Linked DNA regions of Struthio camelus. The protein of the gene in region 1 purifies or fractionates together with the protein of each later gene. This does not show direct contact. Links are inferred from orthologs where the notes say so. Each region holds a gene or a part of one and is shown on either strand. Other genes may lie near its edges.

Region 1 (7,619 bases):
GATTAACCCTTAATTCCTCTGTTCTATTTATGCACTACTCTGCCCAGATCAAACAGCATAACAAGGCACTGTCCCAACATGGGATTTTGGGGTGTCAAGAACTGACTCTTGTTTACACTTGATTGCCCTCTTATGTAAGGACAGTAATAAACACCAGAAAAAGCTGTATAACTTCTCACTGACATTACTTCCAAGATTTGTTGCAAAATCTGCTGGTGGGGAGAAGGGATCACAGTACAGGAAGAAAATACAGTCCCGTCATTTAGGCAACTTAAGCACGCTCCAGAGAACTGAGTTCTGTTCCTTTCTCTGTTACATAATGAAAAGTCACAAACCATAAACTTTGCTTTATTTAAGTAGCTGTGACAAATTATATGTACTTAACGGTACACAGTTTGAGCACTCATCTGCAGATAAAGTCAAAGAGAATCATGTACTGAAAACCAAACACTATAAAATTGCTATACACTCTGGCAAAGTGGGAACAAATCTAGACATCTTTTACTGGGCAAGAAAATTAGCAAGTAATTTTCACACTACCGACCTTGAACTTTATGCACCTACTTATCTGTAGGTTTTGGGTTTATTTTTTTTTTTTACATAGTTGTTAATGTTCAAAAACACTCAAGAAACTCACTCATAAGAATACAATAAAAATTTGTGTGAAAAATAATACTGTATTGAATAAAAAAATCTGAAGTAAACTCCCAAATTATATGGACTAACAACAAAAAAAAGGAATATCTATCCGGTTAGTACAGCTAACAGTACTACAAATTAAACAATAAATCAAATAATAAGCCAAGAAAACCTAGGTCTTTTGAGAGATCATGCAATCACATATATAAGCACTGCATGCAAACTGCAGGAATAAACTTTGCTCTCTTTATTTCCCAGCATCTCCAGATCCAACTTTTTAAATTCAAAAATACTATGACTCTTTTTGAAAAAAAAAAAGTAAATAGCGTTATTGGTTCTAAAATATTTCAAAGTATTAAAAAAAATGCAACATTAATCTAGCCCTACCGTTAGCAACAAACTGTTACCTCTCTGTCTTTGGAGATGAGCACACTGCTTGCATTTGGAAGGTGAACTTGAACACTCAACAGAGTGACAAATATACACACTTAGAGTGAGGGCCTATGTACTCATTTGGCATCTAGTACTATATGCCTGAGCATTGACATAACCATTCATTCAACATGCTACTGAAGTTTCTTAAGAAACACATTTTTTTCTCATGACTTCTATGATTCAAACTTTAGGACATTTAAATAGTTTATTTTCCATTTAATTTCTCCTTTAAAAAAATGTCCATATCTTTCAAGCAATACATAAGGGGTGATTTTAAAGATATTTGCAGATGAATAGCTTTGCAGGGTACAAAGAAGCTGAGAACTCTCCAGGGTAGAAGGAAAGCAAAGCCAGAGTACAAAGAATGTGAATAGGAAAAATACATTATGCAGGTGGCAACATACACAATTTCAAGCTGACTCTTAACTATTAGTTGTCCATTTTCCCCTCAGTTTGTGGGAAGTAGAGTAGTTATTTTGATTTACGCACAAATATAACATTTTAAATTCAAATCCTCAGGCTATGCAAGGATGTAAGATTCATGAACTAGAATCTGATTCATGGGAAAATGATCCAAAGTAAATCAATACTGAAACCAAATGAAGCACAAAAACTTTTAACCTTGAAGATAATTTCAGAAAAACTCTATGTCCCAGTCACAAGTATTTCTTTTGGGGGCTGCGGGAGGGGTGCACAGGGAAGTGTCTAATAATACACAGAAAATATTACAATAACACACAAACACCAAAGACCTTAAGGTTCTTCTGGCAGTACTTTGTTATTGAATTTGGACTAAAAAAAAAAAGAAAACAAGGAAAAAGCCAGTTTAGTCACCAGAAAACCACATCAGTTATTTAAAAAATACAGTTACAACACAAAAACAGCAAATCCCACTGTATAACAGCTACAGCTAACCAACTCCTACAGCCAAACACAGAAGCCAAATATAATCTCCAAACATCCACCTCAAACAGCACCCCCACTAGCCAGTTCTACCGAGATGGGCACTGCAGCACACGTTGAAGGTCAACGTTTTCAGGCCCTGTTTTTACGTATGGAGAGCATATTTTTCCTAGCCACGTCAAAATAACGGGACTGAAAATCGTCTCTAAAGACAAGTTTCATTTCATGAATCAAAACAGCCCGGCAGAACTACTGGACGGTGGGGGGGTTACCAAGCACACTTCCATCAAAACAGCGGCTATTAAGCAATGAGAAAGGGAGGGATTCACTAAGCAGAGAGACCTTGCTATGCATTATGTGAAGTGCTGACAGCACATTTTGTTTCCAGGGGTTACGAGATCCGGCTCCTCCCCGCCAACCCCCCCTCGCCACCTTCTTCAAGACCGAGTCAGAGTGAAGAGGCATTTTTTTCCCCCTCGCCCTGTCCCTCTAGCCTGAGGGCATCCCCTTACCGCCAGGCACCACACCCGCCCGCCCTTCACCCCAGACCCCGCACCCCTTTCACACTATTCCTCCCCTCCTTTCCCACCCCACCGAGCCCCGCCGGTTCCGGGCAGACAATACAGGGAAGGGATACAAGGACCAAGCCCTGGCTCCCCTCCCCCACCGCTCGCCGTGGGTGCGTGTCCGTGCCTGCCCTTGGGGTGGGCGGGGGGGGGAAGGAGGGGACCCGCCCATCCCCCATCCAACGTCCGCGGCAGCAGAGGGGACGGCGGTTGGTGCTCACCTGCATCCCCGGCAGGCCCGTCTGCACGGGGGAGTGAGCCATGGCGGCGGCGACAGAGAGTGGGGCGGGGGGTGGGGGGAGTCAGGTCCCCTCAGGCGCCTCCAGGGGACGGGGCTGAGCTCATCATACACACACACATACAAACTGCTGCTGCTCTTCTTCCTCCTCCTCCTCCTCCTTCTTCTTCTCTCCCTTCCCCCGTGCGAGCGGCGCCTGTGCGCGGGCGGGCTAGGCGGTGGGAAAGGGGCTGTCCCAAGCCTGGGCTCTTCTGGCCCCGTCACGGATGCAACGGCGGCGACGGCGGCCTCCGCCTCCTCCCCCCCCCCCAACCGCCCCCTGCCGCGCGCGCAGAGCGGCCGTTACTGGTGCGACGGCGCGCGGAGCCCCGCCGCCACACGACGACAAACCTGGGGGAGGGGCGGGGAATGCTCGCCCGCCCGCCCCGCCTCTCCTACCCGGCTACCTGCACGCGCTGCCCCGCCCCCACCAGCCCGCGGGCGGGCGGGCGCGCGCGCGAGCTCGGAGGCCAACGGCCGGCGGCGGGAAGGGGAGCGGGGAAATAACGGAACGAGAACGGCCGCCCGCCCGCGCCCCCGCCGCGGGGAGGGGGTTGGCGAAGGGACAAAACGCCCGGAGGTTTGGCGCACGTAGCGCGGTGTGACGAGACCCGCCGCCCCGGGCCTGAGCGCCGTCAGCACCTCCGGCGCTCCCGGCCCTGCGGCGGGAGTACGAGCCGGCAGCCCCAGGCAGCTCGCTGGGCTGGCGTCGTCTTCGAGGCTAAAAGCACCGGCTGCCCGGCCCCTGTGCTACGGCCTTTGGGGGTTTGGGTTTTCTTTCTTTTTTTTTTTTTCTTCTTTTCTTTTCTTTTTCCACACACACACACACACACACACACACACAACCCGAAGACCTGCTTCTCCTTTCCCACAGTCGAAATCAAGAGCAACTTCCTGGCTGTCAGTGAAACAGAGCAGGTGAAACGAGATGAGCGTCAGGCGGAGAGGCTGCACGCTTAAAATAAAGAAACCGGAGTGAGATGATAGATCAAGATGGCAGAAACGCTAGACATTTTCTGGTATGTCCTTTTCCTGCCTCCCCTTCACTTGGACGCTTTAAGAAAGGTCACAGTAATGCTATAGCCCTACTGAGGTTTATGGTTTCAGGAAGCACTTGACTTCCTGTCAGAAGTTGCAAAAGAGCTAAGCCAAAATAATAGTCATGATGTTGTTACAGTACTTCTTAAATGGGAAGAAGAGAGGGCCAGCAGTCCACGTCTCCCCTCCTCGTGAGAAACCCTGGAAACCCATTTAACACCCTTAAGAACATGTTAATATTGTATTTCCCGTGTTTGGCCAGTTTAAACTGAGATTCAAGAGTTACATCATAAATTTAGCAATATGCTAATTATGCCATGAGATTCTCTCCCTTTCTCCCCCCCACCCCAAATGAATAGGTAGTTTCATGAACGGTGAAATTAATGAAGCCTAGCTTCTAGTGGGTTTGGGAGCTACAGAAAAGGGGTGAGCTTCCACTGTAGCGTAAATTGCCTTTCAGTAGGTAGCCCACTAGAGAGAGTTTGTACAAATCTCGTAACTGCTGGAAAGCTTTAAAGTATAACATGGTCTCTTGGACATTTGGTTAGACACAGGCTCTCCCACTGAAGTTTTTTTCCGTAGTTACGGTATTTTTTTTGTGTATGTCTAATATGGACTGAGCCAATGCTGCACACTTGTCTTCCTGAAACTTGTAGAAACTTAACTGTCTTCAAGATTTTTACCCTTCAGTGAAATGTGAATGAAATTAGCCAGCAGCCTCATACAGGCACATACAGGCGTGCGCGCGCGCACACACACACACACACACACACACACACACACACACACAATCCCATAAATCTTGTTTTCCTTAGAAATTAGACTAGACTTATCAGTGCCTGAGTACAGTGAAACATGGAACGGATGATGGATAGAAGTTGTATAGAAACTTGAACTACTGGAATTCTTTTATTAGTTATTTATGAATGAGTTGCTAGTTTACTTAATGCTGGAATACATTTTAAATTCTGTAAACTTTCAAAAACATGAAAATGCCTCACCTCTTTATTAATATATAATTTCCTAAGAAATGTAAAAGCTTTCATTTAGATGAGTTCTACTTCAATCAAAAATCAGATTAAATAACAGACTTATAAAAAGAATTGGCATCAAACCTTCTATTTAGATTGTTTTCCATCTTAAAATATTTTTGCAATCTTTATTTAAAAAAAAAATCTTTGATGTCTCCATGGTTTACTCCACTGTTTGTAGTATGTTTTTAAATTGCTAGTGAGAAAGGCAGTGGGCTGTAGATGAGCCTTTTTCTTTGTCCTATTAATACCATTTAGCTTTAGCTACATCACAAAATACTAAAAATCCCCAAGGAGACAGTGTCAGGTTTGCTGTTACCTATGCAGCTTTAACTCTGCTCCATTCTATGTTGTCATTACAATCCACATTTTACCAGCTGCCTTACTTTTTCTGCACTTGCACATTCAGTGCAGAGTGAAAAATACAAAGGGTATAGAACTAAGCTTCATCTTTTGTATTAAGAAAAGGTATAAAGCGATTATGTTTTATCCATTAGTATACACAGAAAAAGTTACCATCTTCTAGCTGATCTGAAGCAACTTTCCCCATGTAAGGTCCTAGCCCAGGGCCAATGTGAAATCATTTGAACTATTTTAACCATCTTTTGCTTATATTCCTTCACTGAGTAAAGATGATGGATTTTTTTCACCTCAAAGTTTCGAGGTTCCGAAGTTTATGGCTCTGCATTACATACTCAACAAGACACTATGCCTAACAAATGACTGAGCCAGTGGAATAAGCTCTATGAGCAGATTTACTTGTTAGGGAAACAAAGGAAACATGGGAACAAAGGAGCAGATCCAAAATGCAAAGCAGATATCAGTCTAAATTAAGTTCTAATGAACTAAGAACAGTGTATTAGAATTCCTAATTTCTGTCAACTTCTGTATTCTATACTGTATCTTATGTTCTGGTACAATTCCAACTTCTCTTCTGAACGTAGAGAAATTTTAACCAAACTAGTTTTAAATGTAATCTTAAAATAATGATTTTTTTTTCTGTATGTTGTTGTTGTTTTTGTAAATGCTAATTTTTTAGCCTAACCTTCAGTTTCTTCCTCATAGACTAAATAACAGAAGCCTTGCAATTTTTTCTCTGTTTCTCAGCCCTTGTATATTATATTCCAAAGAAAGGCTATTCTTGCAGAAATCTTCATTTAAAATAGAATGTTTGCACATTAGGACAGCCTGCTATTCTAGTACAATGATAAGGACTTTGAAAATAAACAATTCTTATTAGTAAGCTGGCTCCCTGTTATTGTATCTTTTTGAAGCCAGATGTTTCCAACATGCAAAAATTCAGTCAACTTAAGTTATTTTATGTGCTGGCTCACAACACCTGATTCACTTTCAACTTAAAACAGTACTTCACATATTCAGAGATGTTGTGCTTTGCTGGTTGTACAAGAAAAAAAGTTAGGAAAGAAGAGTATTATTCATTGTAACAGCAATGACTATGAATTTCCTTTCATAAATTACCTTTTTCCTTACTGACCAAGACTAAAATTTCTTCTCAAATGAGTAATGTCAGACTATTGATGTTTTCCAACAAGAAAGATGTACCAAAAGCTTCTCTCTTTTGAACTTTGTAATATATAATATAGCATAAATAAATCAGTATTCATATTTTGAAAACATTATGGATTGTAACAGATGGGGCATTTGTCTAAAAACATAATGCGTGAAAAATGTAATGGTGATTAAGGAATCTTTATGCAGATAAATAGCACAAGGCGCAAATTTACATAGTGAACAGAAAAGAATGAGAGGGCTGAATATGCGATCCCATTGCTTGCAGTAGAGTCATGGCTATGGTATTATGGAGCCTCCCCAGCAGACAGGATGGAGTTGGTCCATCTTGTATGGCAGCAGTTGCATCCTGTCACCATAATCATCAAGCATCCTTGATTTGAAGGTTGTGGAACAATTAATCAAATGATACTACCAGATTATTCATCGCTAAACTTGTTGCTGGATTTTTTTTTTCATTTCTTTATTGTCTTTATCCGTGCTCTTCAGGCTTTCCTGTTTTCTTTCTTCTACTGATCAGTTTCTGTACTTAGTAAACCTTTTTAGCAACCTGTATAAAAATATATAATTTTTTAATAGATTAGTGTACTTTGTACACATAATAAAATTTTCACTATTTTGTCTTTAGAGCTTCATTTTGAATGCTTTTATTTTAAATGTATTGCATTTGCAGATAATGCAAAACAGCTTTAACAAGGTTCTTCACAAATGATCCCTAAAGAATCTAAACAGTCAAGTGATAAAAGTGTAAGTCCATACACGGATCTAGGCAAGATGGGGGAAGGGGAGTGGTATAGTGGCAGGAGAGTCTGTAATACACTGCTCAAGTCAGGATGCCTCCAGCGGGTGCATACAGCCAGGGGAGACAGCATAGGACATGGCTATGGAGGATCCTCTTGCACCTCTCCTGGGAAGCTTGCATGCTTGACTGGCTCTCTGAAATGCCTGTACACCAATGCACGCAGCATGGAGAATAAACAGGAAGAGTTAGAGATCTGTGTGCGGTCGCAGGGCCATGATCTCATTGCAGTGACAGAGACATGGTGGGATAGTTCACATGACTGGGATGCTGTCATGGATGGCTATGTGCTTTTTAGGAAAGACAGGCCAGGAAGGCGAGGTGGTGGAGTTGCCCTTTATGTGAGGGAGCAGCTAGAATGTATGGAGCTCTGCCTCGGGGTGGATGAAGAGCAAGTTGAG
Region 2 (7,516 bases), about 140 Mb from region 1:
TCTAAGTCAAATTCCCTAGACATTTTTTAATCAAATTCCTTGGTGAATATAAGAAGGGAGGGGTCACTTTTTATCCTTTTCTGTAATGTTTCTAACAGTAGCAAAAAAAGCCTTATTGTGCAGTAATGCTACTTACAGACGTAATCAGAACAGCATTTAGTATGAGGAAATCCTACTGTGTTATATTCCTCCTACTTACACCACAGTATTTCACACAATAATATATTACTATGACAAATTATCGTTCCTACAGTTTTTCTCTGCACTGTTTGTGCATTCAGGGTTCTGAGAATTAAAAAAAAAAAAAGTAAAAGTGTATTGAAAATAAAATATTTCATTATAAACTTAAGTTTAGCATTACTTACAAAATAGTCACCTAGATGCTTACTGTAATCCTGACAGCAAGTAAGAGGATTCAATTCCTAATTTTGTATTGAGTTTGAGACAGAAAATAAGCTATTCAAAATAACCCTTCAAAAGGCACGCTAGAGTATTGTATAAATATTTTTTAAAACCTTTTAATTGCATAGAAGAGTTCTTTTTACTCTCCCATACAAGAAATAAAAGGAAACAAAAAATCTAAAGTTTATACCAGCAGGGAAAAAAAGATGACAAGGAATATTAAATATTTAAGGATTGAAGGCAAATTAAAAATAAAAGTCAGCTTTTTAAAAATATTGTCATTGCTTAAGTACAGCTATTACTTAAGTTATAGAGGAACACAGAGGTTATTTTTAAAAACTAAAGGGATACTAGAAAGTATTTCTAAAAACAGTGTGCAGTGTAGAGCTATCGCTCCTACCTTAGACAATGAGATCATCAAATTGCATAGGTGGCTTACACTGCATTGCCTAAAAGTGCAACATTAGATAATTACTTGTTTCTGAGCTATTGTTTTGAGTTCTTAAAACTAAAACTTAAGATGAGTATACTAAAGAAATTACATTATAAATGAATTGTTGCTCAAAATTCATCTTCCAAGTATTTAATATTTTGCTTTTATGAATTTTCACCTTAATATTCAGTTATATCACAGTTAAGTCGTTGTTTTTAAAGACAGTGATGTTATAAATATTCATCGTGTAAGGATTCCTTTTTTTCTTTAAAGTAAAACTCAATTTTTAGGACAACAGTCTGGAATTTAAAGCACAAAGATGATTAAGTATACAGTTAGAACATGGTTTCAGAGAAGAACTAGTGCCTGTTTGAAAGAAAATAAAGCAAATATTAACAATATCCTCAATTTCACAGATACTAGTACCATCCTCCCTTCTTGGGTCATTACCTTCACAAATAATTGGACTTGATTATTTTATTATCCTAAACAATGTGTTTCGTTACAATGAAAAGCATCTACAACCCTTGAGAATACAGCCTGACAGTGGACTTCGCCATCCAGTTCTCAACGATAACTGTCAACTGGACTATTAACACAAGCTGATTAACACCAGACAATCCACAAGCAAATGCCACAGATGTGACTACAGCAGATCTGGGATGCTCCTCTGTGGGTACAGAAGAGCATGGGGGGGAGATGGCGCTGCAACCGCTCTACCCTGTTCGGGGTCACTGGACAGGTGAGAAGCCAGGATGAACTAAACGAGTGGACACCTGAGCAGGCTAACTTCTGCTCTCCTGCAGCTCGATTACCTGAGGAGCAGCAGAAAGAAGCCTTATCGCTTGCCAATTTACGCAGCGGAGCAAAAGGCTCCGCTCAAAGAGTTTACACGGACGGGCACCACATTGTGTCTGTCTTCCCTCAAGGTGTCTCAGCACCTGCGGAGAAAGACATAACGTGGGTTTTCTGCTCGGGTGCTGGGACTTTCTAAGCAGGGAGCCAGCTCTGCCCCTAAGGCAGAGCCCTGACGGGGTGAGGGCCGCCGGGCCCCCACAGCCACGCCGTGCCCATGTCCACACACCGGGCGGACAGCGAAGGGGCGCTGCCACGGCTCTGGGAACGACCAAGGAGAGCAATAAGACAGACACGGGGAGAAGGGAGCGAAAAGGAAAGCTCGCTGCTGCGGGATCGGCCGCCCGGCGAGCATTAAGCTCAGCCGTTTCCCCCGCCGCGGGCTGACAGCTCCCACCGCCCCGGGCGCTGTCACCGCCTCAGCCCGCCCGGGGAGAAGGGGCGCAGCCCCCCTCGCTGTGGCAAGCGGCGCAAGGCGGGGGGGTGGGGGGAGGGCAAGGCGAGATGGCAGCGGACGGAGCAGCCCCGCGGGCGCCTCGCCCTCTCGCCTTCCCCCCCCACCCCGCCCCCCGACGCCCCGTCACCCTGCCCGGCCAGCGCCCTTCCCCGCCGCCTCCTCCGTGCCCCTGGCGGGCGCCGCGCTCCTCGCCGCCGCACGCCGACCCCGCGCCGGGGCAGCGGGAAGGAACAATGGGGGGAGCCCGTAGGGGGCTCGGGGAGAAGGGGGGCAGCTGGCGGCAAGCAGAGCACCGCACCGCCGCCGCTCCGCGCCCGCGGACAGGCATCCCGCGCCCCTCTCTCTTCTCCTCTCCCCCCCCCCCCCGGGGCGGGACGGGGCTCGGCTGCGGCGGGTCCGCCGCAGCCGAGCCCCGTCCCGCCCCGGGGGAGAAGGAGGGCGGAGGGAGGGAGCGGGGGAGGCAGGTCTCCAAGCGCTGCTTCGTCCCATCCGCACAGGAACCCTCCTCGCCCCGGCTGGGTCTAAGCCCCCAGGCCCGCAAGAGCCGGTTACCGCTGCCGTGGCCGCCGAGTCCTCCTGGCCGCCAGAGCCCGGCTGGCCGCTCGCGCCTTCCGTCGCCATCTTCCCGCTGTAACGGCTCCGGCGCGGAGCGCGGAGCGGAGCCGAGTGGCAGCCGCCGCCGCCGCCGCCGCCAGGCGCTTAACCCCCTCCCCGCCGGCACCAAGCCCACCGGGAGCGGGGCGCTTAACCCCTCCGGCGCCGCGCCTCACAGCGAGAGCTGCCGAAGCCCAGCCTGCCCCGTCTGCCGGCCGAGGCGAGCGACGCGCGGAGTTGGGCGACGGCGATCCAGAGGCGCTCGGGTTTCCCCTCCTTCTCGCCGCCACCCCCCAGCCGCCACCAGCCGGCCCCGCGGCAGGCGGAGGAGGGGCAGCGGGACCCCGCCGCGGCGGCGGTGGCGGCGGCGGCGGCGGAGGGGAGTGCCCAGGCCCCGCGCAGCGCCGCGCCCCGCTCCGCTCCGCGCCTCTCCCGCCCTTCCCGCCCCTGCGCCTGGGGAGTAGCGGAATGAAAAGAAAGGAATGGGAAGGGAGGAAAACAAAAAAAAGAGCTTTTGCAATGGGCTTGGCTCACCTGCCCAGTTAGATCCTTAAAGCAGCTGAAGTGTATTGGGGAAGGGGACCTCTTTACCGATACCCTTTTCTTTCTGGTGGTGCTGACTGAGGGAGTTCACTGGAAAGAGCACCTCTCCTCAGACCTCCCGTGGAGGGGCGGGGGGAGCACATTTCGGCTGACAGACCTTGCTTAGTCCTGTATTTTCCAGCGAGGCAGGCTTCAGAGCCTGTGTTACGCTGGACCTTAATCCAGGCCTAGCACTCTGGGGCCAAGTTAAAACCTTCCTGTGCCAGACAAGAGCGCACCCGGGCCTGGCAGTGCCCTTTGTCTTTCTAGACCAGTACCTGCCTCAAAGCTTGCTTGAACTCCTCCCCAGAAAGGTTTTCACTTGCTACCCACCTAGGCTGAACCGCACGTCCCCCAGCAGCTGGAAGGGGTGTTTCCCGAGGACTTGCCTCACTGCTTTTCTCCCACTCTGGGACCCCACCTAGCTAGCCATATACCAAAAACAAAACTGAATGTACCTTCCTCTAGGACCAACTCAAATCCATTCTAAACAGAATCCAGGACATTATTTATTCTACAGTCATACAACTTTTCCCACTGAGCCTTGCTTGTCTCCATGTGTACTAGGGCTGCTTCAGGTCTTGGTCTATACTCAATTCTTGGTCTATACTTGGTGCAGACAGAAAGGGACCAGCATCTTCCCTTCATTAAAGACAGCTAATGGTCCTCCAAGCATGCTGTACCTAAGGCTGTTAAGTAAAAACATGCATGAACTTTCCCCTTTACATACCCATAAGACAAACCAATGATAAACTGATAGAATGAACTTCAGCTATAATGGAAATGTTCACTGAACAGAGTGAGCAGAATTCAGTACATAGGATCCGTTACAGTGCAGATAAACTCCAAACAAATAGATGCGTTGTTTTTTTTTCCGGCATGAAAACCACCTAACTCTCTTCCTACTCAAGTTTTACACTTTTTTAACTATACTGTTTGCTAACATCCCTTCCACTGCTGAAGTTGAGAAACACCATTGATGGCACAGAGCCTAAACTGGCTTATTTTTCTCAGTTCCCCAAACTCAAATACCGTGTAATTGTTTTTTAATATAAATTTATGCTTGCTTACTTTATTGATGGCATGAAGTTCTAGGAGCATGTCATTAAGAAACTTAAGGAAAAGTCACTTATCTCCTATGCACTTTCTCATACTTACTCCCCTCCAAATGGGTTTTAAACACTATAGTGTTTTGAAATGGTTTGAGAATATCTTTTCACTTATTAATTCCTATCTACATTTATCATTTGCAGTATTTCCCTGGTATTTAACTTTTGTTAGAATCATCTGCTGACCATCACAGTAACTAGACTGCCTTTCTAACTGAGCTAGTACAAAGCATTCACATAACATCCTGTGTAAGTGCTATTTTTTAAGTCCGTCTGCATCACATGAGTGATGAAGCAAAGGCTGCACTATTTATCTCTTGCTCTGCTGAGACCATAAACTCTGAGGTTTAGCTGATATTTTATCAATTACCAAGTGAACATTTATCAAAATAATAATAATGAATATTAGATTAGTCATAGCTTACCATCTCAGGCTTGAGAATTGATCTCTCTTTCCTCATTTGAAGATAAATTTAGAAATTATTTCTGAGAGGGAAGGGGGAGTAAGTCTCAGATCTCAGCCAGCAAAAATTAATAGGATGGATGGACCAGGAAGACTTCAGCTAAAAGCCCGCCCCCATACAACTAACATCCAGCATATCATCCAAGCGTTGGAAGTAGTTTGACTTGCTGTTGTGGCAGAAAAGATCAGAGGCTTGCTTTTGAAGGAGGAATGATCTAGATTTCTTCTTTATGCTGCTAAATTAATCATCACACCATTTTGAAAATATTATTGATTTTTGTTATTGTATGAGCCTCTACTGCGTGTTTGTAATTCTTAACTTTTCCCCCCTAATGACAGCAACAAGGCTTACTGGTGGCTTGAGAGCACTGAAATCCACATTAGATATTACTAATCACTGCTGTGAGCAGATTCTCATGCTGGGTAGCAGTCATTACCACATTGTCCGTGATGGCGGCTGGGTGCAAAAGTCTGACGTTCTGCTGCATGAAGAACTCCTTCAGGCCCAGGACCATCTCTAACGTAAGAAATATTCTCCCCTTGATTGTTAACAATGTGTTACTTATTCTCTGGCTGCTCTGTTTATGCTACTGCATCCTCTCTTTCAGGACTGGCTTTACACTCTCAAAAATGTAGCATCTACGCATATAATATATGAGTTTGGAGAGATGGTCAGCCCAACTTGGTGACTGTTCCCATAATGCACTGTCATTGCTATGGCTGCATGCACAGTAAAATGTCTCTAACACATGGCCAAGCTCTAACACAGAGCCTTGCTGGCAGGAGAAATTGCCTGTGCTTTGACAGACTATTTTCTTCTATTTTATGACTACATTGAAGCAAAGGAGGTGCTTTTCTCAGAGGAAGGTGTTCCCTATTTTAGTAGTAGCTGGTAGCTGGCAAACTGAAAATAACTAACTCTTTCTCTGCTACTCCCAGTTTTACTGGGATTGAGTGACAGAAAGGAACGGCCAAGCCTAGGAGTAGGCCCTTCAGCTGAGCTTTAAATATGTTTCTTTCCTATGATTAGAGAACTGGCACGCAAAGGTGGAATGTCCACATGTTACAGGATGCAGCTGCTGTACCGAGCAGTGTGCTCACTCCCTCCATTAGCACGCAACTGCTGTGATAGAAAATGTATGGCTTGGCTTTACACTGGCAGGGAAGCAAATTGCTTTGCATCTAAATCATACAGTATATCGAGGCCTTGCCATGTTGTTACTAACTATTCTTATAAAACAAAAAATATCGAAATGGTATTTTATTCACTGTTTTCTAAAGATAAACCTGTGTCTGAGTGTAAAGCAAGTAGGAGACATTGAAGCCAAAAGGTAAATTTTTATGGAAAATGAGGTATCTGAAAAAACTAAGCAATCATTATATCACTACAATCTTTTCAAAGGTCACCCCAGTGCTAACTGAAGGCATTTCTTCTATCATCACCCTCATCTAGGGCTAATCAATCAAATTTATACAGCATAATCCAGATTACCCCATCAAGGAAATTTGGTGTTAGAGATTTGTAAGCAATACAGAAGATTCTGACAGTGAAACATTAGCTTGGGTTTTGTGAAGAAGGGGTTACTTTTTTTGGAAGATGGCACTATACGGTCTGGGTGAAATTCAATAGAAAGAGGATCAATATTCCACAAGGCATGTTTGTTGTTTCTGAGGATGTTAAAGGAACATCGAAAGGGAAGGTGAAAAGGAGATATAAAATTATACTGTTGAGAGCAAAATGGACTCTCCAGTGGGCATCAATAGAAGAGATGCTTTAACTGACTATGCACAAGGAGCATAGATAATAAATAACAAGTATTGGAATTATTGATTTGTGAGCATAAATTCAACAGTGCTGAGTATGACTATAACTCAGTGATGTGATTCACATGATTTGAATGCTGAAAACTGGTTATAATCTGATTAGAAAAGCACAAGTGGACAAAAAGAAGGGAAGACACTCTATTAAAAATGGTATTTTGTGTGTCAGCATTACTGACATCTCCCAAACAAGTTATGTTAATGTTTATGAATTGTATTTTAATATTTAAAGCATAAAATGAAGTATTAGGTAGTGTCTAATCTATGGGAGCAAATCTCCCATCATACTAAAGACCAAAGATCTTTAGCATCTTTAAGCAAGATCCTTAAGCATCTTTATAGAAAGAGAAAACTGCTATCAATGTGGCTTTACCTTGAATGACACAAAATCTCTTTCTGCCAATACTATAACATTCTAGAAATGTCTAAAAATTACAAGTGACAATTCAGGAAGTTTACCTTGAGCAGGAGGATTCTGAATGAGACTTCAGTTTAACACATGGAGAGGGAAGCTAGATCCAGCTGGACTCTTACACACCTAAAACTTGACAGTTTGCTATGCCTAACTTCTAGAAATCTGAGCCCAAAATAGAATCCAGAGCCTGAAAATGGGTACTGTCTTTGGATTTAAAACAGCGTTTAATTTGGAGGAGTCCTATAGTCTGTGTTATGCGAAAGAAGAGATCACACACTGATCTTCTTGGCCTTGAAAGCTATAAGCTTCTATTAAGCTATCAATATATTTCAAGTCTGGAATAGTTGGATTCTTGATTGTTTTCTTTCTGTTTCACTATGGGAAG

Evidence for each region.
Region 2: the proteins of STK24 (region 1) and CTTNBP2 purify together in Homo sapiens (affinity purification with mass spectrometry; 3 studies listed by BioGRID and IntAct, with this or other methods). This does not show direct contact. The link is inferred for Struthio camelus from reciprocal best matches to the Homo sapiens genes STK24 and CTTNBP2.

What each region holds. Positions count from the first base shown.
Region 1 is NC_090942.1:164,904,991-164,912,609, reverse strand, and holds the start of STK24 (serine/threonine-protein kinase 24), read right to left. Parts: upstream 3,099-7,619; 5' UTR 2,807-3,098; coding exon 2,765-2,806; intron 1-2,764. UniProt on the Homo sapiens protein: Serine/threonine-protein kinase that acts on both serine and threonine residues and promotes apoptosis in response to stress stimuli and caspase activation.
Region 2 is NC_090942.1:28,493,549-28,501,064, reverse strand, and holds the start of CTTNBP2 (cortactin-binding protein 2), read right to left. Parts: upstream 3,099-7,516; 5' UTR 2,769-3,098; coding exon 2,700-2,768; intron 1-2,699. UniProt on the Homo sapiens protein: Regulates the dendritic spine distribution of CTTN/cortactin in hippocampal neurons, and thus controls dendritic spinogenesis and dendritic spine maintenance.